2 linked regions of the Drosophila melanogaster genome follow. The gene in region 1 interacts genetically with each later gene. Each region holds a gene or a part of one and is shown on either strand. Other genes may lie near its edges. The genes, in order: nudE and dar1.

Region 1 (13,096 bases):
GTTTATAGAGAACTACAAAAAGTTTCAAATAATAATTAATAACAATGCAGAAAATGTAATATTACTTGACTCTTTGAAGTCAAAAAATAGCAATTGAACACCGCATTTTTTGGCAGATCAAGCCCTTTGTAAGCTGCAGCTGGCCAGTGAACAAATATCCTTTCCCCAAGTGATGTCGCCCAACCATTTTTTACCCAAAAAAAAAGAGGGAAATACTTTTCAGGGATATGCCGAGTTTTGGGTCAACAGATTCAGTTGGTCCTGTTGCAGCCAGACCAGTTTTGGTGTTAGCCCATCCTCTCCGCCCATAGACGAACTCATTACGAAAAATGAGCGTCCTGCGGCGCTCAAACAAAGCAAGGACCAAACCTGTAAACGGCCCCCCGGCCAGCTAAAGTGTATGTATGTGTGTGTGTGTTGTGTCCTGTGTGCCCTGCTTGTTGCTTGTTTATGCCAAAAATCATACACACCGCCCACATATCGATTTTGTTTGATGTTCAAGCTGGGCGCCACGAATATACGGATATGCGAAGTGGATAGTCCTGGCTTTCAGGACCCTCGGGCATCCAGAAAGCAGCAAAAACAAAGGCATACACACCTCATCATTATTTCCGTTTGTGTACTCGTTTCCGTGCCTACATTACGGCGACGCGTCGCGTATTTTAAATATTTAAAGACCATAAATGCCGTAAACCTTTGGGCCACCATCGCCAAATTTTTAGAGGGTGCCGCCGGAAGTGGAATTCGTTGGTAGCCAAAAATTTCATGCGAAACGGAATTAGTAGATAATGATACAGTAGGAATTTGAATTTTCGGTTTCCTGTTTGATTGTTTTTTGGTAAATTAATGTATACAGGAAAAATGCAAATCGCATCGTTAAAGAGCGAAAGTATATTTCTCGCTCAAGCATATTTAATTATTTACTTTAAAGGTTAAAGGTTACTGTATATATAGTAAACATGAAAATCCTTTTAATATTTTTAGGTCCAAGGATATAAATGTACTTAATCAGAATATCAAAGCTTTAAAGTCCTAAGTTGCAACTGAACTGAATTAAAAATATATAAATAATATTTCCCAAAGCGTCAGATTAGAAAAACTACCTTTTAATGGGTAAACCACTCAACTAAATGTTCTTTGTAATTAAATTACGACCAATAGCTCTTAAAACGTGTTTAATAACCACTCTTCTGTCAGTTACCGACTTAAATTCTACACTCAGTTATGCTTGAAGTCTTTAAGCCATTCCGTTTAATGACTTCGATAATTTGGCCAAAAGACCTTACACCCTGTTTTTTCGAGGCATTTCGAAAGCTTTCGCTTTAAGCCAGTGTTTTGATACAGTTTTTTACGAGCTGTTTGCTCGTTTTTTATGCCGAAACAATTGAGTTTGTTTGCTTTGCAGAGGGTAAATCGGGTTCGCTCGCAGTTGCGCTTGACCCGCTTATTGGAACTGTTGGCCAGGTTCTGATTGTTGGCCTTTGTGCTCCTGGGCAAATGGTATTCGCGGCCAGTTAATTAGCTGCCCGGGATCGTCCCTCCCGCGGGACTTCATCAGGCGACAGGCTCGGCGCAAAAAAACGAGGCAGATTCTTCAAATTACTTTTGAAAAAAAAAGGGGCGACCAAGGAAGGGAATAACCTTCAGTTCCCAGCTTTATCGTCAGCAACTCACTTTTAGAAAAATATCAAAATTCTTCTTAATTCAATATTATTCAATAACTTTATTTAGAAAAAAAAAATATAAAACATTATGCTTAGAACTTAAAATGGTACTTTTAAGTACCAATTTATCTTTTATTCTATTATTTTATCCAAAACAGGAATTTTCCCACATTTATTGATAGTAAATAAATAAATAAATAGTTGCATAACTAAATCGAATAAACCGATGCATCCGAATTGTTTTTCGGTGCACTCATGCAGGACTGGCTTTGTGTCTGCTCACTTTTATTTCAAACGGCAATTGCATTGTGCCATTCCCAATCCGCTTATGGCCACTGCCACGCCCCCTGGACAACCACCTAGACCGCCCATACCGCCCACGGGAGCAAACAATGCACTCAGCAGCAAACAAGAGCAACAGCAACACCAGGCAGGTCCAGGAAAGTCCATCCCTTTTTGCCCTGGTAAGTGCTATGCGTATGATAAAAGCTTGTGTCATATTTTCATTTTTCACTTCACTTTTCCCTCGCTGCATTTGCTGTGGCGGATTTGGCATCTGGAAAGGAGTTAGTTCTCCAGCCAACCAGCTAGCATGGCTCGCTTAATGCCAAGCACTCGACGACGCTAACCCACCCGGTGCTTACTTATAAAAACCAAAGTACTTTCATTAGCTTACCGCCAACGGGACCTTCTCGCCAGCAAGGTCGGCATCAGATCCAGTTTACTTTGCCCACCATGGAGCACTGTGCGTCCACCAGCCGACTCCATCCACAAACTCAGTGAGCTCAGCATCCTTTTGGTTGGGGCTAAAGCTCCGGGAAAATCCGCAATGAAATGGGTCTAAAACGGGGAAAGTTTCCCCTGCGAAAAGCTCTCGATATGAAAATTCGGCCTTGGCATAGGAATTGACGCAGCATTCAACTTGTGTAATGAACTCAAATATTATTTAAAACTAATTAGTTGCAACACACACGGCATCGACATTGATGTGCTTGTGGATGGTTTCTATTAAACTAATTATTTTGCTCTTTATTCATACATATATATATATATTTTGTTTGCCTGTTCGTTGGAGTTTTGTTATGCTTTATACAGTTTGCCGTTAGCAATATTTTGCATTTTTACAAATTTATATTCGCTGGTAAATATAAACAGAAAATAGCTCTGGGGATAGTTACAATATAACTAGATGATCGTTTCGATAATTTTAATAATTTTTTTTCCCGGGTTAGATCTTGTCTTTTTCCTAAACGCTACGAGTATTGGTTGTCCGCTTGAAGTATAATACTTGGACAGAGCTTCTTCGCTTGTTTTGCTGGTTGATCAACTTTGAACTTAGTCGCTAAACACATTGTATGCCAAAACAATTGCGTTCGAGTTAACAATTCAAGTCAAAAGTGAACCGAGTGGGTACTTATAGCTTAGGTATACACTTAATTCGTACTAAGGCATGTTATATATGTTGGGCTCGAAACAACAACATCAACTGTTGTGTAATTCATAATATCGCAAGTGGTTTATACAAAGTCATTTTAGTTCAAATAAATAAAGAGGCAGCAGAAACTTAATTAATGCGAACAGTAACATTAAAGTAACGTAACGTAAACGTAAAGCCAACTGAACAGTATCCCGCCCTAGGTGATTGGGTTTCGGATTTGGGGTTTGTGGATCACGCTGAACTGCAGAATCCACACTACTCGGCATCCAGCGAGAAGCAAGGCAGTCCGGCCAGCGCCGGATGTGTGGATTGCTGGGAGGAGCGGTGTCGCTGCGGCATTGGCTGACCATTCTCGCGGTACGTCTTCAGTTTCGTCTCCATCGCCTAAAAAAAAAACACAAAACGAGAGCGGATTAAGCAACAGTCAGTGAACTATATGAAAAATTAACTATAGAAGGATTTGGGCACATCATATAATAAATAAATTAATGAAAATTTCATTTCGCAACGGTTTGCCCAGTGCAGAGTTTAGTCAGCAAGCCAAGTTATTATGCGCTTTCGAAACTGAATAAATCATAACGAACAAAAACAAAGAACATAAAATAAGGTACAAATAAATTTTGTATTTATTAACCAATGCAATTAATAAATGCAAGCGGAGGGCAACTAAAATTAGCCTTAAAGTTCCGAGCGCATTGTCAGAGCGGCAGGCTGGCGTCCGGCGAGTTTCGCATGCGCTCGGCGAAGCGCCTAAAAATGTTTGAGCCCGCACTGAGGCTTCCGGCGGAGCTGCAATCGCTGGTGGGCGTGGACTGGGCGCTACTGGTGGCCACTGAGCTGCTGCTGCCGCCAAAGGCGCGGCGAAAAAGACTTGCCTCGCTGGCCGATGGCGGCGGCGGCGGCTGCACACTTGCCGGGCGCTCACACATGCAGCGAAACTTTTCGCACTCGGGACATAGCAGTGCCTTGTCCCACTAAAAACATAGGGAAAAACACATAAGCCGATGGTGGGAGTGAAGGGTTCAAGGATCATATGTACATACGAAACAATGGATGAGGTAGGATGGCATGCTGGACTTATAGTTTGCGGAGGGACTTACGTTTAGTTTTCTTAACATGTCGGCCACAATGTTGAGCGCCGTTGTGCGGGAGCTGGGGTTCATGGAATTGCCATTGATTTGATTCTCGGGATCTGCAAGAGGAAGCACACGTACACAGCATGTTAGTCGAGAGGTTAGTTAGGTCAACTACTAGCTACAGACGCAAACACAAATCGTACAAAAATCGCCTACAAGAAATGTTGCAAACTCTTTCGTCACATTTGGGCTCTTAATTTTAATAATTTACAATACAATTACAAATTATGAGGAACTTAAGCGGGCTACATTTTTTGGTTAACAAGTAAAAAAGAAACAAATGGAAAAACAATACTAAATGCATGGCTTGAACGTTTGGCGATTCGTCTTGGACAGTTTTAGCGCGCGTCTGGTTTTCTTTAGGGAACTTAGTATCTTACTCTTAAGCGAATGCTGCTGGTTATATTCGTTTCTATTAACTAAACTGCCATTGAGGGCGTTGACGCTGACGCTGGTGGCTCTTGTGGCGACAGCATTGTCGTGTTTTACCAATTCGCCATTGGCAACAATACCATTTGGCAGCGAGGCGGACGAGTTCATCGAGCTGTTGACCGTATTTGTGTCGTTTGCCGTGGGAACGCTCGTTCCATTGACCACTGGGGTAAAGCGTGACTTGACGTTCAGCTCTTGTTTGAGATCTGCAATAGATTTGATGAATTAGTTTTAAAGTCTGTGCTGGACATCTGGTATAGATGCATCCACCTCTCGTCTCATCCATTAATCGCTGTAGTTTTTCCTGCAGCAATCCCTTTTCATCCACTTCCAGCTCCAGAAGGGCGTTCTTCTCGTAGGCCTGATCCAGCATCTTCTCGAAATTCTCTATGCTTTCGTTAAGTATGCGATGGGCACGTTCCAAATCGTCGTTTTTCTGCTCCAGCTGCCGCAGGTACACCTTCATGGTGTCGCGATCCTTCTTCACCGTTTCCAGCTGTTTCTCCATGTTTGACATATCGATGCCATGCGATTCCAACTTGAGCTGAGAATGAAATAGTTGTAAAGACTAATCTTGTCGGGAGCTCAAAGCCACATATACGCAAACTGAGTCTAAGAATTAAGCTCAGTTTGTGTAAATCGGGCTTAGCTTATAGCTACCTTGAGAGACTCGTTTTCCCGCTCAAACATTGTGAGTTTGGCTGTGAGATCTTTGATTATACTCTGCTTCTGGTCCAGAGTGGCGTCCATTTCTATTTCCATTTCGCGGGACTGCTCCACAAACTCGTCGTACTCCTGTTTCACGTCTGTCCACCTGAAAATTAAAAGTAAAACTAGGCTATATGGCTGATTTCGGAGACTGTAATAGGGATGGGCACTTACTCTTTGTGGTACTGCTTAGATCGTTCCTTCCAATATCTGCACTCATCTTCCACACTATTGAACATCGGGGGCGACTCCATTTCTGCAAATTTTCCTTAGCTGCTAACTCCTTTTTCTGGTTTTTGTGTACTAATCGGCGGTCAAAATGGGTTTGTAATTTCGTTCGTTCGAATTGATTTAACTTTTAATTTCTGAACAATGCTATGTACTACGGTTGGTCTATTACTGTTTGGGTTATTTATTCGTGTTTTTTGGCTGCTTTGTTTTTAATTGCTGTGATTAAAATGCCAAAACACAGTTGTTGTTCAAGTCGTAGTTTTACTTTTTTTTTGTTTTGTGTGTTGGGGGTGGTGAATAGACTAGAAGTCGGCGAAGAAAAGTGAAAAATCAATTAGGAACAGGTGTTTGCCCTGAATTTTGTAGTTACTGTTGCTGTTGTTCTTGTTCGATGCCCTAAAAGGGCAGTCGGTTTTGTCCATATCAAATGTAAATAAAATCAAATTAAACAAAACTCATTTTTGTGACGCAGCTGCTGCGGCAACAACAACGAAAACAACGAGGATGATGGTGATGAGCAGCAGCAACAACAACAACAACAAATAGCTACGACGAAGTTTCCCATACAACAACGCACTGCATGGAAATGAAATCATCGGTGATTTTTTCGTAGAATTCCAGTGTTTATACCTAGAATTTTATACAGCACGACTGTCCACATTTACTACTTACACTTTGCACTTAATTTTGCTACGTTTTGTTTGTTTTATTTACATAAAATCAGTGTAAATAGTTATGCTCGTAAAAATTTACCACTACTCCAAAAACGCACAAGCCAACCCTGGCTTGGGTTGCCAGTGTTGGCCAATAGATGGGCATTTGCCGTTTCCAGCCCTGGTCAACAGTTGTTATTTGAAATTTAATCAACATATAAAGTTTTACTCGGCTTTTTTTTGCGTTTACGTAGTTTTCTTATATATTCCAAATCATATTTCTCTAATGGACGTGCTGTGAACGTTATCGATTTGTTGGCCGGCGCATCGTTGCTGGTATCGTCCGAAATATGAAACTCAGAGTCGGAACTATCTTCAATTATTTGAGCTGAGCTTAGTGTTAAATCACGAGTGGAGCTGGGAGTTTGTGGCAGTGCTGCAACATTTTCGCCAACTACGCGCATGGGCAGCGCATGATAATGATATGATACATTTCGACAGGATTTGCGGCGTAGTTTGTGTTTTCTGCTTGTTTCAAAGTCACTTGAACTTGTGGACGTGTTATCGTCCCCACTATTTGAGCCTTCCCCGCTTACAGAATCCTTATTGTCAATTTTATTGGAGTTTTTCGTGATTTTAGACATATTTGTTTTAAGCCGCGCTGGATTGTTTTGGTTCCAAAAATGAACAATTTTTCGCTGATCTGTTTCTGGTTCTTTACCAAGTACAACGATGTGGCAACTCCCTGGCAGGGCCGCAACTGAAAAATCTCAAACGGGACATCGTTGCCAGATAGCTAGCCAGAGTGTGGCCAGATCGCAGCGACTGCAGTGCATTTTCAACAAAAATAAGGTAAAATATAGCACAATTATGGCCAGCAATTGTTAAACAATTAACGCAATTGCCAGTATTATAACCAAATGTCAACTGTGTGAGTGCGACAATCGAGCTCGCGTGGGCGTTGCACATGCAGCATCATCGAATTGATTAATTGCGGCGCATGCCGAAAAGTGAAAAAAGGGAGGATGTGTTTCAATCAACGCGAGTGAAAACCGCGACGAACGAAGAAAAAAAAAACCAAACTACTGCGGCAATCGTGAACAAAGAGCTCGTTGCGTCCGAAATTATGTGGCACAGCAACTAAACTATTGGATTTCCCACTCATTTTCCAGTTGAAATCAACGCGTTGCAGCAGCCCCCGCAGCAACAGCAACAACAAAACAAAGGCAACTGGAAGTGCAGCCTAACGGGAATTGCTCCAGCATATAGAGATTATAGTCCACACATATAAATATCCATTTATCGGAAGATAGTCCACAATGGCGGATCCAGAGCGACAAAGCCTGATCAACAAGGACGACGGCAATGGCTACAATTCCGTGGACGCCGTGGACGAGGGTGCCGATAATCCCGGCAGCAACTCATCGGTGGCCACAAACGAGGACGGTGCGTATCGTTACTGTAAAGCCGGGCATTCAACCCGCATCCAATCAGCCGGGCGGGCAACCCATTGGAAGCCCAACAAGTGTGCGGGCGCTCCACTTATCCGGATCCAACGCCGTGATTCCGAGTTGTCTGCTCGCCGTCTCATTTGGCATTTTCACACTTCACCCAACTGAGTCATAAATGCGTGTGGTTTGGTGCGGGGGGAGAGCAATGGGACTGCACAGAAAGAAAAACTGATAGGATATGTGGTGCCCAAATGCCATTTTAAATTATCTGCCATTTTTTTATTTTTTAATAGGGCCCAGTATTATTGGTATTACCAAAAATTTACAACCTAATATAAAATTTTCTTATTGGCCTAAATATCAAATGGGCCACGTACACCATAAAAAAAATGTAATTTTATCACGAAATTGTGAAGAGCTGCCAAAAATGTAAAGATCGATTGTAGTTAGTTACTCGACGCCGGTATCGGCAAAATTTTTGCACCGCCTTTGTTATTGTTTATGCTAGGACGCTCGTAATCAGCGCAAAAAGCGTTCCCCACAGCTGTTTAATCAGCATCGATTCGGAGGTGTTGCTATAGTGGTGGTTAAGCGGGGGCAGTCAATGAGTCCATGAGTCATCATGTCATTCGCTGCCTTATCGCAATACAGGGCGAAAATGAGGGTCTGCGATGAGCAGTGGTTCCATTGTTTACCAAGGAACCTGATCTTCAGCTCGGAAAAAGCTTGTCCATATCATTAATATATACAAGAGTTTAGTTACAAGGGCTTTACGACTTTCCATGTTCCCAATTAATTTGCATAGGTTATCTTTCTGTATTCCTTTCTTTTTGACATTATATATTTATTTAGCCAAAGTAATATGACTTTATTTGCAATTTATCCACTTCATATCAATTTTCCTAAAGAGTGTGTGCGATGTTACTCTTTGCGTTGTTTTCATTTAAAAACGTCTTTCACAAAGTTCGAACTTGTTTTGATCGAGAGACGAGAACCACAACTGCGGTCTAGTTGCACTAGTTTAATGCTTGTACGAGAAAGCTGCATTCATAACGCCAAAACATTGACCCATTTGGTTTATCGCAGCTTCCCAGAGCCACACACTGCACACTATCAGAAAATGCAGTTCTCACTCCCTCCATGAGCCAATCACCGCCAGATGAGCAGTGTGGTTGAGCGAACTCTGCTGGCGAGATGTATTTATTCTACACCAAAGGTCTCGCCTTTGAAGGGCATGGGTCTTAACAATATTATAAGTAGTTAATAATACTTTGCAATGGAATTTTAGGCAATGGAGCACCGACCGCAGTGCCTTGCATTGGACCCGATGAGCTGCCGCCGCCGTATCAGCAGAGTACCAACACCGGAGGCGTCCCGATGGTCACCTGTCGGGTATGTCAACACATGATTGACATCACCACGAAGCGGGAGCAGCACGTGGTCAAGTGCACCCACTGCAATGAGGCTACTGTGAGTAATTCTAAGCAGATTCTTTGAATCCAATTGTAACTTAATACGCTTTTGGCTATCAACAGCCCATTCGGAACGCTCCAGCGGGCAAGAAGTATGTTCGCTGCCCATGCAACTGTTTGTTAATCTGCAAGAGCTCGTCGCAGCGAATCGCTTGTCCAAGGCCCAATTGCAAGAGGATCATCAACCTGGCCCCAAGTCCCGTCACCCCGCCCGTGCCAACCATGCCGGGCATGTGCCGCGTCACTTGTGGCCACTGTTCGGACACGTTTTTGGTGAGTTATTAATCCAAATCACAGCAGCAGGAGTCTTGTAACGCTTGCTCTTACAGTTCAACACGTATCACAACGCCTTGGCCCGGTGTCCACACTGCAGGAAGGTCTCATCGGTGGGCTCGCGCTTTGCCAACAGCCGCGCCGTGATGTTCGCCATCGTGGCGCTGGTGTTCCTCATCACAGGCATCGCTGTAACTATCGGCACATACTCGATTGCTTCGGTAAGCCAAATCAATTTAAAATCAAGCTGAAGTATGTGATTTTCTAAACCCATATGTGTGTTTCCTTTTGCATTTTTCCAGGATCATGGTGGCATGTACTTCCTCTACGTGGCGCTGTTCGTGATTTCGGGTTGCATGCTGGCCAGGTCCGCCTACTATTTCCGCCTTAAAGTGAGCGCCATCGATGGGCCAATGTAAAGCTAAAGCACGGGGCCAGTAGCAAGGAAGAAAGTGCATTGTTTTATTTTTATATATATATATTATTCATATATATCATTCCTTTTGATATTAAATTTAAAACTAAACACAAGCAGCCAATTTGCAGACGGAACATATGAACATTTCTCCAGCAGTTCAGCTACATACAAAAATTCTTCGTTTCGAGCAAAACTAATAGCAAACCTAGCTAAATTTACGAAAGAAGGTCTCCCCGTTGAAGAGCATAATTAGGATATTAAGGCCGTAACTAACTAAACACTATACTAAAAGCGAATATTTCAAGGGTCGCCGTGCAGCTACCATTCAAGTGCTAAAAGTAAAAAAGGAAAACCCCGATCTGTGTTGGCAGTCATTAGTTATTAGACCAGCGACCGATCAATCCACAGTGCATCTCATTTTTAGAATCGTCAGGATCCATTTTAAAGATTGTACAGTTTCGTTGTTTAAGTGTCCGATTTGTTATCCGTTCGTGCCTGTCCTGCAAGATATTTCGGTATTCATACATTACGTATTCGTTGATACGCTTTTGAGTTTTGTGTTGCCTAAAATTTAACCAATGCACTTTTTCTCAGTTCTCGCCAAAGCGGAGGAAAGCGTTTTGTTGCCTGGCGTTAGAAACAATTTGAAGGGTATGCTAATAGTGCTAATGAAGGTACATACACATACGCGCATATACAATACCATAAATACATAATTATAATGCAAATAAACAAAGCAACATTTCTTGAACAACAGAGAACAAGCAAACGCTCATGCAGATATAAAGAAAATTAATTTAGACAGCAACTGCTAAACTGCGAAATTGCATATATATATATGATTAAAAGGAACGGTTTACTTTTGAAATATATATATATATATACAACAACATTTATATTTAGTACATTATAAATTAGCATACATACACTGTAAATAAAAAGAAATAAAACCACAAGCACCACCAACTTTTTGGCGACAAAATGACAAGGCTATGAAAGTAGAATAGAGTGCCTTGAACTTGACATCGGACATCGGCTGGGATTTTCGATTTCGATTACATTTTTAAAGTTTTTAAGTTCCTTGGCCAAGATGTCATCATTGGCTCCTTGCTTTACTGTGGGCTCTATTGTGCGCTGCAAGACTTGTTTTGGCGACAACATTTCGGGCGAGGTAAAACTAAATATTATTTATTATTTTTATGATTATGTAATGCTTTCAATTTCCCAGGTTGTGGCCTTCGATCTGGGCGTGAAAATGCTGATAATGAAGTGTCCATCAAGCAATGGCGGTGGCGACGAACAGACCACTTGCAATGTGACCATTGTGAACCTATCCCTGTGCATGGACATTGAAATAGTAAAGGAAGCAATTCCGCCGGCTGAAGTTCAACAGCCAGAACCGATTGATTTGCCCATGGTAGAAGCACTCTCTATATAGATATTTAAAAGAAACCCCATTCAACCATTTGCAATTGCAGATCCGAGAACGATACCGATACGCAACCGAACATCGTACGCTCTCCTGCCGGAGCTATCATCCCAATGCCTCGCCCTTTGGTCAAGCTCTGTTCAGACTGTTAGTCAAGCGATTCGGTGATCCCGCTATCATCTGGCAGAACAAAGGCGACCAAGTGGCGATCAATATACTCCGTCAGGTGGTCATCGATGCGCCGTATGCCACGGAGAATATCCGATACCTCGATTGGAATCCCAAGCTGGCGATATGCGTCCAAGAGGTCGTTCAAAACTTTTGCAGTAAACAATTCTAGAACGATGGCCCGTGCCCATGGCAACAGTTGTCTAGATAGCATCCGATTCTCTGTACGTTTTGTTTATCAACAAAACAATTCAAAATACACATACATATAGCCATGACACCCACACAGAATACTGCTCTTTATCTGCCAGGGGAAACCATTCTCGTTTGTACAAATTCGATTTAATACACTACACCACAACACCCAACACACATAATACACGATGGCCGATGATGAAGATAAACCAAAGAAGCACACGCTGGACAGCCTGTTCTTGGTGTATTCCAACTTCCAGGTATGATGAATGACCCGGTTAATTGAAGAGTAATTTTCATCTAAATGATGCCAGGTCATACCCACCGACATCGAGAACGAGTACTTTGACAGCATACTCCTCTCGCAGTTGGACGCCTGGCTAGAGCAGGCCAAGCTCATGCCCAATCCCATAACTCGAACTCAGACCGGTTTAATATACATGCGATACAAGTGAGTAACTACATCAAATCTACATATCATTCTTAATCAAATACATGTTTCAGGAAATGGCGTTTGGAGTACGAAGACTTTCTCGAGGTCCTAAATAACTTGGCATCCGATAACAATCTGGCTATAGATGAAATGAAGCAAATAATGATCGATGCTGGCGTCCCGAATGGTGCTGATGTAGTTATAGTCGTCAAGTAGATTGAATCATCACTGCATTTTATTTATATGCATACAAAAAGTCGGACAACAAATTATTAATAGTAACAATTGCATACAAGAGTAACTTTGATTAATTCACAAAAATTATAGTAAAATATAAAAGCATCCAACAAAAAGAGCCTCTAAACCCGATTGGTTAATTTCAGTTAGTTAAACACTTATTTTGACATAGAGGGTGCCTAATTAAGGTATGTTTTGAGATTACTGATCTGAAAACTAAATACAAAATATATGCGTATTACATTTTTTGATGTGATTCAATAAATTGACTGATATTCTGAAATTCTGCTTAAGCTTATAAATATTCGATGAGTTGGTTGGCTTGTTCGCTTCGCGTTACTTTCCTGATAATAATAACAACGTTTGTTTGGGTAACAGAGTTTGGCTGGACTTATTTCTAGCACCTGGGCAAATATGTGGACTGCTCGGAGCTAACGATGTTACAAAAATACATGCTTATTCATTCCGTATATCTAATAAATATTGTCGATGCGTTCTAATGGCTTTCCGAGCGTCTCATAGCGATTGTAAGGTAATAATGCACTGTTTGTACTAGTAAATTTCCGGCTCTTGACGAGGTGCATGGAGTGGATTTGCTATTGATGCTTGCTCTTAGTCATCCCTCCAGTTGCGCAGCATGGTAAAAAAAAATCTATAGCGTTAATTTTTTGAATTGTGTATGCGGGATTTATACTGTTTACCGTGCATACTCGTAGCAACCTCGTGCCGTTCCAAGGCCACTCCAATTTCGCCACATG
Region 2 (12,990 bases), 6.3 Mb from region 1:
TAACACCCGCTGGAAGCGTCCAACCAAAAGTCGGCAGAGCTATAGCCTAAGCCCCGCAAGCGCAGCAAATCAAAACACATTTCATAGCTTGAAACAAAGCAAAAACTTAGGTGGAGAGAAAAACAGCAGCTAGAGCTGGGAGAGAAGGGCCAGAGGCGGCGAAAAGGGGGATTATTAATTTTCGTATAAACATTATTTTTATGTAGTAAGTTGATAAAAATTTAAAAAAAAATTAAAATCCCAAAAGAAACTTCATAACATTTAAATATGCTTATTGAAGAGTGAGCAAATATATGTTAATATGTGGCACGTTGCTGCTGTACCGCTTCGGTACACCCCCCCTCCCCCCTCTTAGACGGCTGCGGCCCCCTATTAAAATCCGCCCACCCCTGCACTGGCTCGCCGCCATTTGCCGAGCGTTTTGCCACACAGTTGCTGCCGTGCCGTCGATGTTGCTGACGTCGTTCTGCTCATGTGCGCATGACGAATGACCGCAATTTGCGACAGTTTTTTTCCCCGGCTCTTAAGTATTTTATTTATTTTTTTTTTTAGTTATTTTACTTTACATATCTGCCCGGCTGACTGATGTTGTTGACTATTAGCTGTCGATTGTGCTGGCCGCTGGTGTGTGTATCTATTTTCATTATTGGCTGACTTTAAATGTGATTCGTATTTGCCTTTGCCTATATATAAGTTTATTTATTCTAATGACAAGTCACTCGAAACTGACTGATATTGATATGGTTATATGGTTATTGTAGTCGCTATTTGCTATTTACTATTTACTATTCAGTGTTCCTGTCTAGCGCGCCATTTTGCTATTGAGAGCGATTTGGTTTAGTGGGTTCTAGCGATCGTTATTTGAAAGCGGATTTAATAGAGTCTGTATGTGATATTGAATTTGTTTACGTGAAAATTCTGCCACAGAGAATTTAGAGGTTTTGTCATCTCTTCATTTACGGCAGTTAAACACCAACGTTTATTCTGCTTTCAAAGGAAGGAAAACAGCAGTTTTCCACCACATTTTGACACTTCCCTAGAGTCTTCTAAATGTAGTTTCCCCACTATACATACTAGTTTTCCACCCCCGCTCACTCTCATTTGCATAAAACCATTCGCACAGCTATTACATATCACCGGGATATTGAATATCCCTGGATATCCTTGAGGGGCAAACAGGAATGCATAATAAAACATTAATTGATGTCGCTGACGCGTCGTTTTGGAAATATTCTCACAATTTCACGCTAGGCAATCATAATATTCGGATATATTGGGGTGGCCAGTGAAGCTATGAACAGAACACTACAAATAACATAGCACAGGAAGTGCCCTGAAACCCAGGGCCTACAAAACCAATTTCCGATCAGAGCTGGAAAAGCGTTCAGCCATGTCGAGGGGCTCTTAACCCATTGGTGGCCGAACTCAACTGGCATGCGCAACATGTAGATTGTGTGGAATCAATAAATATTTGAAATGAAACTGTTGAATAAACGCTGATCGGTCGGACACAGGATTTGCGGGCAATTAATTTGTGTTATTCAGGAAATTTGTAGTAGGGGCCAGAGTCGAAAGTTCAATGGCCAAAAGGCGATTATTGACAGGCCCTATTAGTGGGTCAATTGCCCAGAAGAGATCTCAATGCTGTCCACTCGTACCTGGCGCTTCTTCTTGACTTATAGCCATTTCGAGTACCTTTCTGTACTCTGGCAATTAGCGATCGATCATAGAAATCTCGGCCGGGTGATAAAAGTTAAGTAAGCACATAACGTGAATTGAAGTGTTTTTAGACGCATATGCGGCTGGGATGGGATATCGCCCATCGGTCCACGGATTATATACAATAGTGCCTTACGAAATGTGCTGTGATTTCGATTTCAATTTAAATTTGCAATTTGATTTCGTGTCGGACTGGTTTGTTTGAACCTTTGTTGGGGCCTTACGACCGATCGAGCTGATCGAGCGATGGAGACCATCCGATGATGGCTTTATCATCGCACCCCGATCAAATGTGTTTTTTTTTTCTCACCTTGTTGTGGAAATGAATTCGATGCGAAATTGAAATTTACAGCGCCGGCATTTGACATCGGCTTGGGTCAACTATTCGAAGATTTCACGCAGATTTTGTTTCATAATCAAATAATTGATCTTAATGCGGCATCGGAGCTTTAAATGAAATTTATTTCATTTCATTCGCTGTCATCCGCTGAGCTTTTGATCCCATCAAACCTGAAACGAATTGCGCTTCAATGTTGTGGGGGTTTTAGCACCTCTGTGAGCATAAAAGCCTTTTTTCTTATTTTTGGGCAAACTAGTTTTCGCAATAATTCGCCGAAGTCAAACATGTTTCTCCTTTTTTTTTTGGGCCTTAGGCCCGGCAATCTATCAAAGATTTAAGGTGATACTTTTTCTGAGTCGAAAAAAAATGTTGAAATTAGCCGGTCAAAAGGGTTGCCTTTGGTCAATAAATGCTCACTCACGTGCCATAAACATTGGGTAAGAAAGAAGGGAACAAGAGCTTGGATTGGGTTAAATCAATAGTGAGGATTCTATTGAAAAGCTTTTAAAAAATCCAAATTGATGGATAGTCGATATTATGATTTCAGACATTGGTTTTTAAAGCTCAGCACAAGGGGTATGCGAAGAAATTAAAGATGGTGGCTTAATACTGCTAAAGGATAATACAGTTCTTCTTTCAACTATAATTCCTTAATTCTCAATAATAGGCTATCCAGAAAACCGCAAATTCTATGTGCACCCAGTGGCTTGTGAGTGATTGATTCTCGCGGCACGATTGACCTCCAACTTGGCCAGGCGGCAAATCAATCAAAACTGGCTGCAAATGAATGATATTTTTTTCCCGACTTTTTTGTGCCATTTTTGGCGCATTTGTGTGCTAGTTTTCGTTTTCATTTGCATGAATTGGCGAAATCAAAATATGGCAAAGACTAGACACTAAAAACTTGGCATTGTTATGGTGGAAACAGAAATTACTGGCGAGATTTGCATAGGAATCGATCGATTGATGGGCGATCTCCCACTGGGCCTTAATGAGATTTTGGCCAACTGTTTTCATGGCTTACTCCAGTTATTATTTAACTGCCATTGTCTGGACGGTGTGTAATTGGCAATCGGTGTTTTGTTCGGGGGCTCGATCCAATCTTGAACTCATTTCGAAATGGAAAGTCTACTAGGGATATCATTATCTTATCGGGCCATTATTCGGCTGTTTTCTATCTAATTTGCCACGATTTTTTATGGCTCAGATGAGCAGACGGCAAGGCAATTGCCGTAATTCTTGTTAAATTTCAGCACCGATTTTGATTCTTTGAAGGCGGCCGCCTTTGTCTGATTCCGATTCGCAAATGCAAATATTTCCTATTGATTCAGATAGGCTATAAACTCATATACGTTTCATTTGGTATATTTGTAAATGTCTTTTATTGACAAATCACTGGAGCGACTGCAAGTTTCGTTTAGTCTTAAATAATTTGCATAATTCTTCGGCCCGTTTAGTTTAAACACCCCCCCCCCCCCTTTTTTTTTTCAAAAGCTCAAACTTAGAGTTATCTGATTTTTATCTATATTTAATTATTTACGATTGAAGCACAATGGTTCAGGGTCATTAATCAGAGCCGCAAAAGTCGGCGCTATAACCGCCTGGCTACGTGCTGGATTACTTCCATTATTCACTGAATGTATTCGATACGCAGATACTCGGATACTTGGATACTTCTATACTCAGTGCAGCTAATTCCCTGTAAGCGATCGTAAACTAATTTCGTTTAGAGCCATAAAATACGAAAGTTTTTCGTCATAATCGCCGTGAGTCGTGGGAATTACCTTACCATATCTCATCATATCTGTTAAATCAGTGGAAAACGGAAGAAGTCCACCCCCTCACCCAAAAGCTTACACTATCTGGAGGAAGTGGATGGGGCTTCCAGGGGGCCAAAGGGGGCCAACAGCGCTTTGTACTTTTGCGACTGTGTGTAAATATTTGACAACACATGCCTAATTAGTGCAGCTATTGATGGTGACAGGCGGAACAAGCACAACACACTTGTCGAACACCCAGCTCTTTTACGATGCCTTTTTACCCGGAATCGCCAATGTCTCGGGTTTCTTCGTCTGTACCTATGTATGTATATCTGTTTCGCTGAGGTTCCCGGAGTTCGATCCTTATCTCTGGGGGAAGGAAGTGTTCTGAGGAGGGCAGCTGGAGGCACTTAACACAGAGCTTTTGTTGAGCAAGGCTAGACTTTCTGCGGGAAACTGAACTTATCAATGGGCGTAAGGCTGGTAGACCAACGGTTGTAAAATGTTGAGATAAGGCAATAAGACAGGGAATGATAGGAAAATTTAGGAAGATAGCCTACACATCATAAAATTTATAAGAAAGATAATCAAGGCTCAAGATTATTGGTAATAAAAAAGTACGTATACTTTGAAAAATTAATTCATGGTAAATGAGTATGGCCTAAAAACTTAACCTATACTCGATAACTTTAATAACCACAATCTGTGCGATCAGTTTCACTCTAAAGTATTTATTGACATTCAGCAATAAACAGGATAAACAGTTCCTCGGAAAGACATATTACTCATACGTATGTACCCTTGCCGTTTGTAATTATGTTCTCATACTATCCAATACCATCGATCAATGCCACCCAGTCGATGATCAGGCTATAGCTATATGTATATATTCCCGGGTAGGAACCGTGTTGAAACCATCTCGTCAGTCAGTTGGGGACACTTGGCACATTGGCAAAGTGTTGGGGGCAAATATTTACCCAGAGCTTCGCAAGTAAGCGCGAGTCAAACAATTGAGGCAAACAAGCCGGGAAAACAGAAAAACAGGCTGCAAACATGGATATCGAAAGGAGGAGTGCGGATCGGATCGCATCGGATGGACTGTGATCGCCACAGTTTCCCTGCGGAACGCGTGAAAAGTGTGGATGAGTTCAAAAGAGTTAACCGACCGTGTATTTGAGAACGGCTTTAAGAGCCGAGAGTTCCTGCAGGTGATAACAAGATTTACAAATCGATTGTCGCATTTGACAAACAAAAAAAAACAAAAATGGGGAAAAAACGGCGAAGGAACCGAAGGAACACCTGAGGAAATCCAAGGTGTTAATCTCTGTCGAAACACACTCGAGAACACTCAAAAATTACGCAGTCCAACTCCTCATCTCAATCGATAATTGAGCTAATTTGTTTTCGGTTTTATTGTAATTTGTGATTGCCGCGTGCGTTTTATTTATACTCGTACTCGAATTCGTACAAAAATCGTCAAAAATCTGGTCTGTTCAAGATTTGCATTTTGATAAGCGGAAGTTGTTGGGCTTAAGGTGTTTTTCATGTGATTTGTAAGCTCTCGTATTTGTTGTGTGCTCGCTTATTGTTGTCAAATTTGGCTAAAATTAATTTGCAATAAAAGCGGCTTAATTAGCGCACTTTGGTACGTAAAGTTTTTTTTGTTTCATTTGAATTGGGTTTGACAAGGAACCTGTGATTGCAAATTAATTGGCTAATGATTACGATATTTAAACGCTTTGTGATGTGTTCATCCTTGTTTAAAGACACACATATTCTTTCTATAATAGTTGGATATATTTCCATTTGAATGTTGATCAAGCTAGGGAATTTTATTTAAGTGATTGATATTTGAAATTTCGACACTGCCTTTTATTTGATAGAAAATATCTATCTGCTATTTGGATTTTATTTATTACAAAAGATCAAGTTTTCTAGATCTTTTCGCTGGAATTTCCAGAATGTCTTAAGTAGCCTTTAATTAAATATTCTAGTAACCGAACTCACCTGCATCACCCAGTAGTTATTGTTGGCGGCAAACTGATCACCAATTATGATATCCGTATGCATTTAAGCGGCGTTTTTCGCATGAAGCTCCTTCACTCGACTGTTGGCCAGGTGGAATGCCTGGCGGGGGAGGGGATGCCACCGATTCTACCGATATTCTACCAATATTTAACCCGACAATTTGCAACTGGGCTCCGTACTTTTGTGTTTGCGGACAATTAAATGGCGCTGCTCTGACTCACGAGTCACGATCAGTTCAAGGCACAGTGATTAATCAATTTCGGATGCGAATTCAAAATCGTATTCGGAATCGAATTTCGGGATTATTATTGAATACTTCAGCTTGACATGGCACTGCGAGCAACAGACATTGCGGCACGTTTTCTTATTATTCAATTGCTTTTTGTTATTTGTTGTTAAATTAATTTAATTTGCAAGGATATGCAAATGAAGGCACTCGATCACTTTCTCTCACTCTTTTGTTTCCCTTTGTTTGCACACTGATTTTTTGTATCCTTTGCGTTAATTGCACAAAATTAATAAAAGCCGGCGGCTTTCGCTCACTTCCGCATTCGATGATGAGCTTCGGCTTGTATCTTATTTGTATCTGTATCTCTTGTTCCTCTCGATATGCTGTATATATGGGCAGTAAATTCGTTGCAATATTCTACAGATAATGGTAAGGCACTTGCGGGTTTCAATTTATAACTTATTTTCTGTGTTGCTTGAGTGGATATTTAGGCGATTCACGCGCTCGTCGGCGAAGTTGTTACTGCGCTGGCGGGAACCGAGTTCGTACTGATTGGACGAGCGCGGGTTTCGCGCAGACGAGCCTCGAAAGTCAGAAAGCCAGTCAGCTAGCTGCCGCTTAACCCCCGCCGCTTAACCCTCCACTGCCCGCTCTGTGCCGCTCTCGCTCACCTTTCGTATCTGTATCTGTCGGATACTCTGCTCACCAGGTGTTCCGCTCACCTGGTCCGCTCTCCGCCACTTTCGGCCCAGGTGATCTGTCGCTCTTATATCCGACTCTCAGGTGTGTTCCAGCCAGCTGATCTTATTGGAGACACTGGAGTATAAGAGCTGCGATCGATTTTAATTGAATGAACCGCCTGGGATTCGCCATTTTAGATTTGACCTGCGGTAGAGGTGGTAATGGGTGAAAAAGTAAGTAACCACGCTTCAGAAAAGATCTCGAAATAGGGCAAGGAGGTTAGAAATTAAAGTTTATAAGTCCCTTATGGAGTATTCAGTAACAAATAAATAAAAATTATTAATTTTAGAGTAATAATTTTATTATAATCCGATCAATTAGAATATCATTTAAATTTACAAAACTTTACAATTAAATGTTTATATAAATAAAATCTACATATATGGCTTCGATTTGATTTAATTGATTTCCGTAAAGAACTTTTATACGACAGAGTGTTTTTTAAGGACCTCGTTCTTTTTTTATAAGTTTTATAACTTAAGGTATAAAATTGGTAGCCTTTAAGGAGTAATAAATCAAAAACATACAAAGCATAATCCCCGAACAGAACCTCCCCCATTAAAACCGCTTTACTACACCGTTCATTAAGTTTGACACATTTTAGATAGAGCCTAAACAAAATAAAAACTGTCCAGCTAACACGCGAATCTTTCATAGACCTCATGCAGTTTTAGATGGTAAAAAAAAAACATAATTAAATAGAATTAAAGCATAAATTAAGTCAGCTTATGTGCTTTCTTTGGGGGAAATCAATAGAGCGACAATTAAAAGGTATCTGTATCTACATATTCCAGGTGGAAAGCAAAAGAAGAACGAGGACTGTCATTTCCCTGTGTAATTCCCTGAATCATAAAATTACCCCAACGCACGCCACACATAAAAGCCATTTTCATTTCGACTCATCCCCCTGGTTTCCTTATTTTTGGCCATTAGGGAGCCACAAGTTTATGTTTTCCGCGCGCGGGGGGGTAAAATGGTTGGTGCAGGGGGGCCAAAAGTATCTGAAATAACACGCAAACGTGGTTTTCTAAGGGGGTTTTTAGAGGTGTGGCCTCTCCGGATAGCGGCGCAGACTCAAAAGTCAGCCAATCGGCGGTCGACAAAAAGAGCGAGAAACACGAGATACAAGATACAACGAGTGAGCGGGACGGGGCATGCGGTTAGAAAGAGAGAGCGAGACACTTTTGCGTACACGGTGGCAGTAAGTGGAAAAAACAACAACAACGCTACACGCAGGTGGAAAAACAAAAACATCAACATACATGGTCAGATACGAAAGTATCTACACTCGCAGATACATTCGTCCATATTCGACGCCACCGATAATTGACTGTAGTATTCCCCGGCTTTCGCTATTGACTTCGTGCAAATTTGCCATTAATGCCACCGCAGACGTCTGCAGATACAAGCCGAGATACTCAGATACATTCGAATTTGTTTGTCTTCGCGCTTTTGTTTGCTCTCGAGCTGCTTGTCTTACGTTTGGCATCCGTGAGATATGCCAAAGACACATTTCCAAGCCCGTACTTGACTCCGTTCGCCGGTTGACAAATGCCAGCCAATTTATAACGCTTTTGGCCTAGAATGAAGCGGTTGAGTACGAAGATATGCGCGCTCTGGGGATTTAAATATGCATATTATGATTAAGGGGCTTTAGAATATCTATGGCACTGTAAATTAAATTATTAATTGAAGGGTACAACGAAAATGCGTGTTTTTCAGTTATTATGTTATAACTAAGTCAAAATAAGACACATCGCTATAAGAAGCACTGTTTTTTACACCCGACAACCTAAGAAGAAAACCCAAATCACTTTTTAAGAGTTTTTGAAAAAAAAAAAATTTACCCATTTTTCGACTTTTTTGTAAGGGGTACCATCATCAAAATTTTCGAAAATGGTCAAAAAAATTTTTTTTACACATTTTAATGGCAGTTGTTTTGTGTTTGTAAAGGATAAAGATCTGAGCACAACGAGGTATAACTTTCCAAATTTGGACAATTTTTTCGATTTTTATGCACAAAAAACTAAATTTTGTTTAATAATGACTTGTCTATGAGTATATACCATCCTTAGATCCTTCTGTAATCATTTTAAACTCTATTTACTTCTCTTTATAAATGACATATTTATATCCTCTTTACTCACGTTTTTACCGAAATCCCCGTAAAAAAAAAGCCTGTAATGTATCAATTTTGGCGCTTTTATGTCGAGATCCGATCAGTTAACCATAAATATTCAAATTGGAGGCGCACATCCTTGTAGAGTAATTGATTTTCCCGCCAGCGATATCTGCGGGATTTATGGAAGCCCCTGTTTCAGCTCTTACCTCACACAAAGATCGATGTCGATGGGTACTACCTGTTATGAGACTGGAGATTCGAGGACTCTCCCCCCAGAAATTCACTGCACTCGACCGAGCAGAACTTATCGGCCAGCTCGACATGATTAATTGCCCACCGAAGACCCTCGAGATCAGTTCGTTTGAATTGTGGCCAAAATATTGTCACGCTTCGAAATCGGAATCGAAATAATATGAAAAACACGATCTGAGAGCCTCCAAGGAAATGGTTCTCCGCTTGATTGATTCCACTTGGCGGCACTTGCCGATAAAGAAGGACAAGTTCCCAAATGATTTCGATTTATTCGGGCCGTGCATTGTCAACCTGGAGTTGTTATTTCTTCCAAGAGCAAGGGTCCCAGAGATTACGCGGCAATTTGTTTTGTCTGCGCATTTTCTGGGAAATATTTTCATAATTTCTTCGGCTTAACCTTATCGCTCGAATTTATTTGTTTGCATAATATGCGAGGGTAATTGAAATCTCAGCCAGGGGAATTGGAATTGGGGCCACCTCGAATTCCATCTAACAGCTCAGGCGATCAAGATCAGAAGACTTTTAGTTACCCCGAATAATTGGGTCCCCGAAATGTGCATTCTATGCAAATGCGGCCAAGATGCAACTGCGAATGCGAATTTATACGAATGCTAATCAAGTTAACACCAAGGCATAGTCACTGTTGTCTGACAATTTTTAAGTGCGTATCTGTGTCGCTGCAGCGGCGGCAACAATTATTAATGATTTTGCTAAATGTTACAGAAAATAATGACAGCGCAATGCTGTGTGCAGCTCCACAAATTACAAATGCACACAAAATGCCTTTTAGATTTCGGATTTTGTATTTCGGTTTTCGCCTCTCGCCTTTCAACACCTCGCAGCCCACATTTCGTTGCGTTGAATGAATGATTCGACATGTTCCAAGTGGGCGGCCCGCCTGAGGGCGTGTCACTTTCAGGTGAGGGCGGGGGGCGTGGCATGGCGGAAAGCGGAGCTGCGGCGGCGAACAGCAGGCGGCTGATTCTTCCCGAGCTTCATGGGCACTTTTTTGACATTTAGCGCGTGCGCAAGCGCAGAAAGAAAGAGTCATGATCTAAGCATCTAACGATCTACGACACAGCGAGAAAAAACTATATCAATCGGAAATCATTTTAAACCTGTAAAGAAAAAGATTCATTATATTATTATATTATCGAAAATAAACAAATGAACAATGCTTGTCACAAATTTTATTCTCTTTTATCGTTTATATCCTAATAACCTCCCCGTACTATCTTAAAGATTCATCCTTTGCTGCCTAATAAAATTGACATTATAGGTCTCGAAGCATTTTTATTGTTATTGTTAGTAATAACGTCCATTATTTGGAGAGTATATTACCTATTGGTTCGCTCGCTTTCAATTGTCGTAGTGTTTTATCTGTTAATATACTACTTCATATTTGCTTATACAGCCTTTAGTCACAAAAGTTCTGAAGGACTTTCATTTCAATAAGCTGATGTTAAATTGAATTAAGTGATTAGCATTTCGGGTGATATTTTCTCCCAGTGGAGTGCTTCATTAAATTCCCGTTTCCCTGTACCACTTCAGGTGTTGGAAAGATGAGCCCCCAGTGCGGTACTCCTCCGACATCATTTCTATGATCGCGTTAATCACCTTTCAAGCCCACTCGAAGCGAAGTAGAAACGATATGGCCCTTGAGAGTAGCTGGGGATCGGAGATGTCGATGGTATGGGGGTAACTTACAAAACTTACAAACGATATCATTGCTTACTCAGCAGGTTTCGGGGTCCCAACTATTTTCGGGAGGGGGTGCGAACTGCTAATGATGCGACTGCACAATTGAAATGAAATTAATTTTACGCGGCAATTAATTAAATCTCGGCTGTGGGCAGGCGCAGAGAAAGCCAAGGCCTCCCACACCAAAGACTTCATCATCTTCTCTAACTCCGGCCAATAATAATTATTAATTGGGCTAACAAGTCCCTCGGTTTTTGGCTTTCGGATTGTGAAATCTCTCCTTGGCCTTGGCCAAAAGCCAAAAGCCATAGACCATAAACCACTGATACACCATAAATGCGACGACGCACAAAACAATTGCACCGAAATAATATAAATTCGTGTGAAATTAAATCATAAAAGTAACCATAATCTGGCCAAGCCCAGAAACCCACCAGCACACGTCAGACATTGCAGACATAGGCCAGACTTCAGACATTATGCGATATTCGATATTCGGCACTGACACAGAAAGCCGAAAATTTCCATAGGATTTTCTATCGATTTTTATGGCGAATCGGAAAAGTTTATCAATGCCGAGAACTTTTCTTCGAATGTGACATGCAAATTATGAAACTTGTTTGGTGAACCCAAATTCTGGCCAAATTTCCATATAAGGGCCTGCGTTTTCTATTTGCTTACTATTCGTTTGTTGAGAAGTGCTTATAAAATGTCTTATCTATTTGTTTTCGTTTACGATGCTCTTCGTCAAACCATTTTCTGCCGATTTTTATGACCAATTGGAAAAGTTTACCAGCTCTAGAGCAAAAGCCGAGAGGTTTTGATTAGCGCCAATTCGCTCTAAACTAATTTCGTTTGATTTTGATAAGAATTGATATCTGGAGAAAACCATGCAAAATCTTAGAAGATTCTTAAGATACTTTTTAATTTTAAACAGCGATAGCAATTTGAACGAACAACTAAGCATATCACTTTTCAACGAAAACTCATCCAACACATCATTCGCTTAAATAATATTTTGACTTTATTTCATCTGAGTGGCCTTGTTTCTAGTGCCTACAATTTCATCAATAAGACAAACAGTCTTTGGTCTCAATTTAACGAAATTCCAAAATGAATCCAAATTCACGGTGCCTCGCGCTGCTATTCGTTGCGTTATCCTTTCTAGCTCAGGGCTTTTTCGACAGTTACAGAAGTCCAAAGGAGTGTAAGTTTTGAGTTAGAAACAAAAATGTATTACTATATTGTAGGTTAATGTGTTTTAAGCAGCCGGTCTGGCCACTCTCTGTCAAGAAATTCAAAAGATCCAAGATGACTTTGTGCATCTGGCAGATAATGTAAGCTAGACTCTATTTATATCATTGTATTGCTTTAATCCCCCCAAAAGTGCTCCATAGAGAAACTGACGGTGAACGACTCCCTGGAGTATCTGCAGATCAGTTGCCATGTGGATGATCTTCCAGAGGGCTACGAGCGGAGACTGAAACCCGTCGACTATGGCCGGAGTTTCTTCCTCAACCAACGGATGCCGAAGCCTTTGAAGCGCCAGTGGAATTTCCGAGTGCCCACAGACGCCGTGAATGGACTCAGTCTGCTGACTTGATTGATTCGACTCCACTAGACTGATAAAGAAAATGTCAGAAATGAGCTTATCACTTTGATTCTGGAGGGGAAAATGCTTGACCACCGGCGGATTTCAATTAATCCGGGGGTCAGCATAGAAGGAGCCGCTACCGAATGATCGGTAATGATCCCGGGGCCTTTGTCTTTAATGAGCTTATCCATCATCGCGGTCACAGCTCCCAGCGTATTTAACTCATCTGTCACAGGGCTAATAGGTTTCATTAGTCATCTCCAATCGTCCGGTTTATCAGCTGCTTTTTTCTCTCATTTTTTGTGGTCATTTCTCAGAGTCTCTGAGCCACAAAAAAATGTATTTTCAGTTTTGGTTTTTGCCTCAGTTTGGCTTCATACCATTGTTCCCCTTTTCGATTCGTTTGGGGTTTGCGTGTCGACAGCAATTTTCACCTTAATTATTTTTGGTGGCAGGAGTCGTCGGGTGGCCGAGGATGTGTCCAGCACGCGCTAATGTTTAATA

The links.
Region 2: of nudE (region 1) and dar1, changing one suppresses a phenotype caused by changing the other (phenotypic suppression), as found in Drosophila melanogaster (one study listed by BioGRID).

The regions. Positions count from the first base shown.
Region 1 is NT_037436.4:9,892,541-9,905,636, reverse strand, and holds nudE (nudE), read right to left. Parts: upstream 6,397-13,096; 5' UTR 6,282-6,396; exon of another isoform or gene 6,250-6,281; intron 5,912-6,249; 5' UTR 5,633-5,911; coding exon 5,553-5,632; intron 5,485-5,552; coding exon 5,331-5,484; intron 5,215-5,330; coding exon 4,941-5,214; intron 4,877-4,940; coding exon 4,619-4,876; coding exon of another isoform or gene 4,533-4,618; exon of another isoform or gene 4,440-4,532; intron 4,295-4,439; coding exon 4,203-4,294; intron 4,077-4,202; coding exon 3,801-4,076; 3' UTR 3,725-3,800; downstream 1-3,724. Other genes in the region: CG46387 (uncharacterized protein), read right to left, coding at 6,469-6,906; CG6707 (uncharacterized protein), read left to right, coding at 7,582-7,708, 9,002-9,183, 9,249-9,458, 9,515-9,679, 9,761-9,877; Hez (hezron), read left to right, coding at 10,967-11,047, 11,105-11,293, 11,355-11,645; CG6709 (uncharacterized protein), read left to right, coding at 11,857-11,928, 11,983-12,119, 12,173-12,317. UniProt on the Drosophila melanogaster protein: Chaperone protein with functions in nuclear localization. Required for centrosome duplication and formation and function of the mitotic spindle.
Region 2 is NT_037436.4:3,619,981-3,632,970, reverse strand, and holds the start of dar1 (dendritic arbor reduction 1), read right to left. Parts: upstream 6,620-12,990; 5' UTR 5,890-6,619; coding exon 5,827-5,889; intron 1-5,826. Other genes in the region: CG14974 (uncharacterized protein), read left to right, coding at 12,006-12,099, 12,159-12,229, 12,280-12,495. UniProt on the Drosophila melanogaster protein: Transcriptional regulator which promotes dendrite growth by suppressing, either directly or indirectly, the expression of the microtubule-severing protein spas.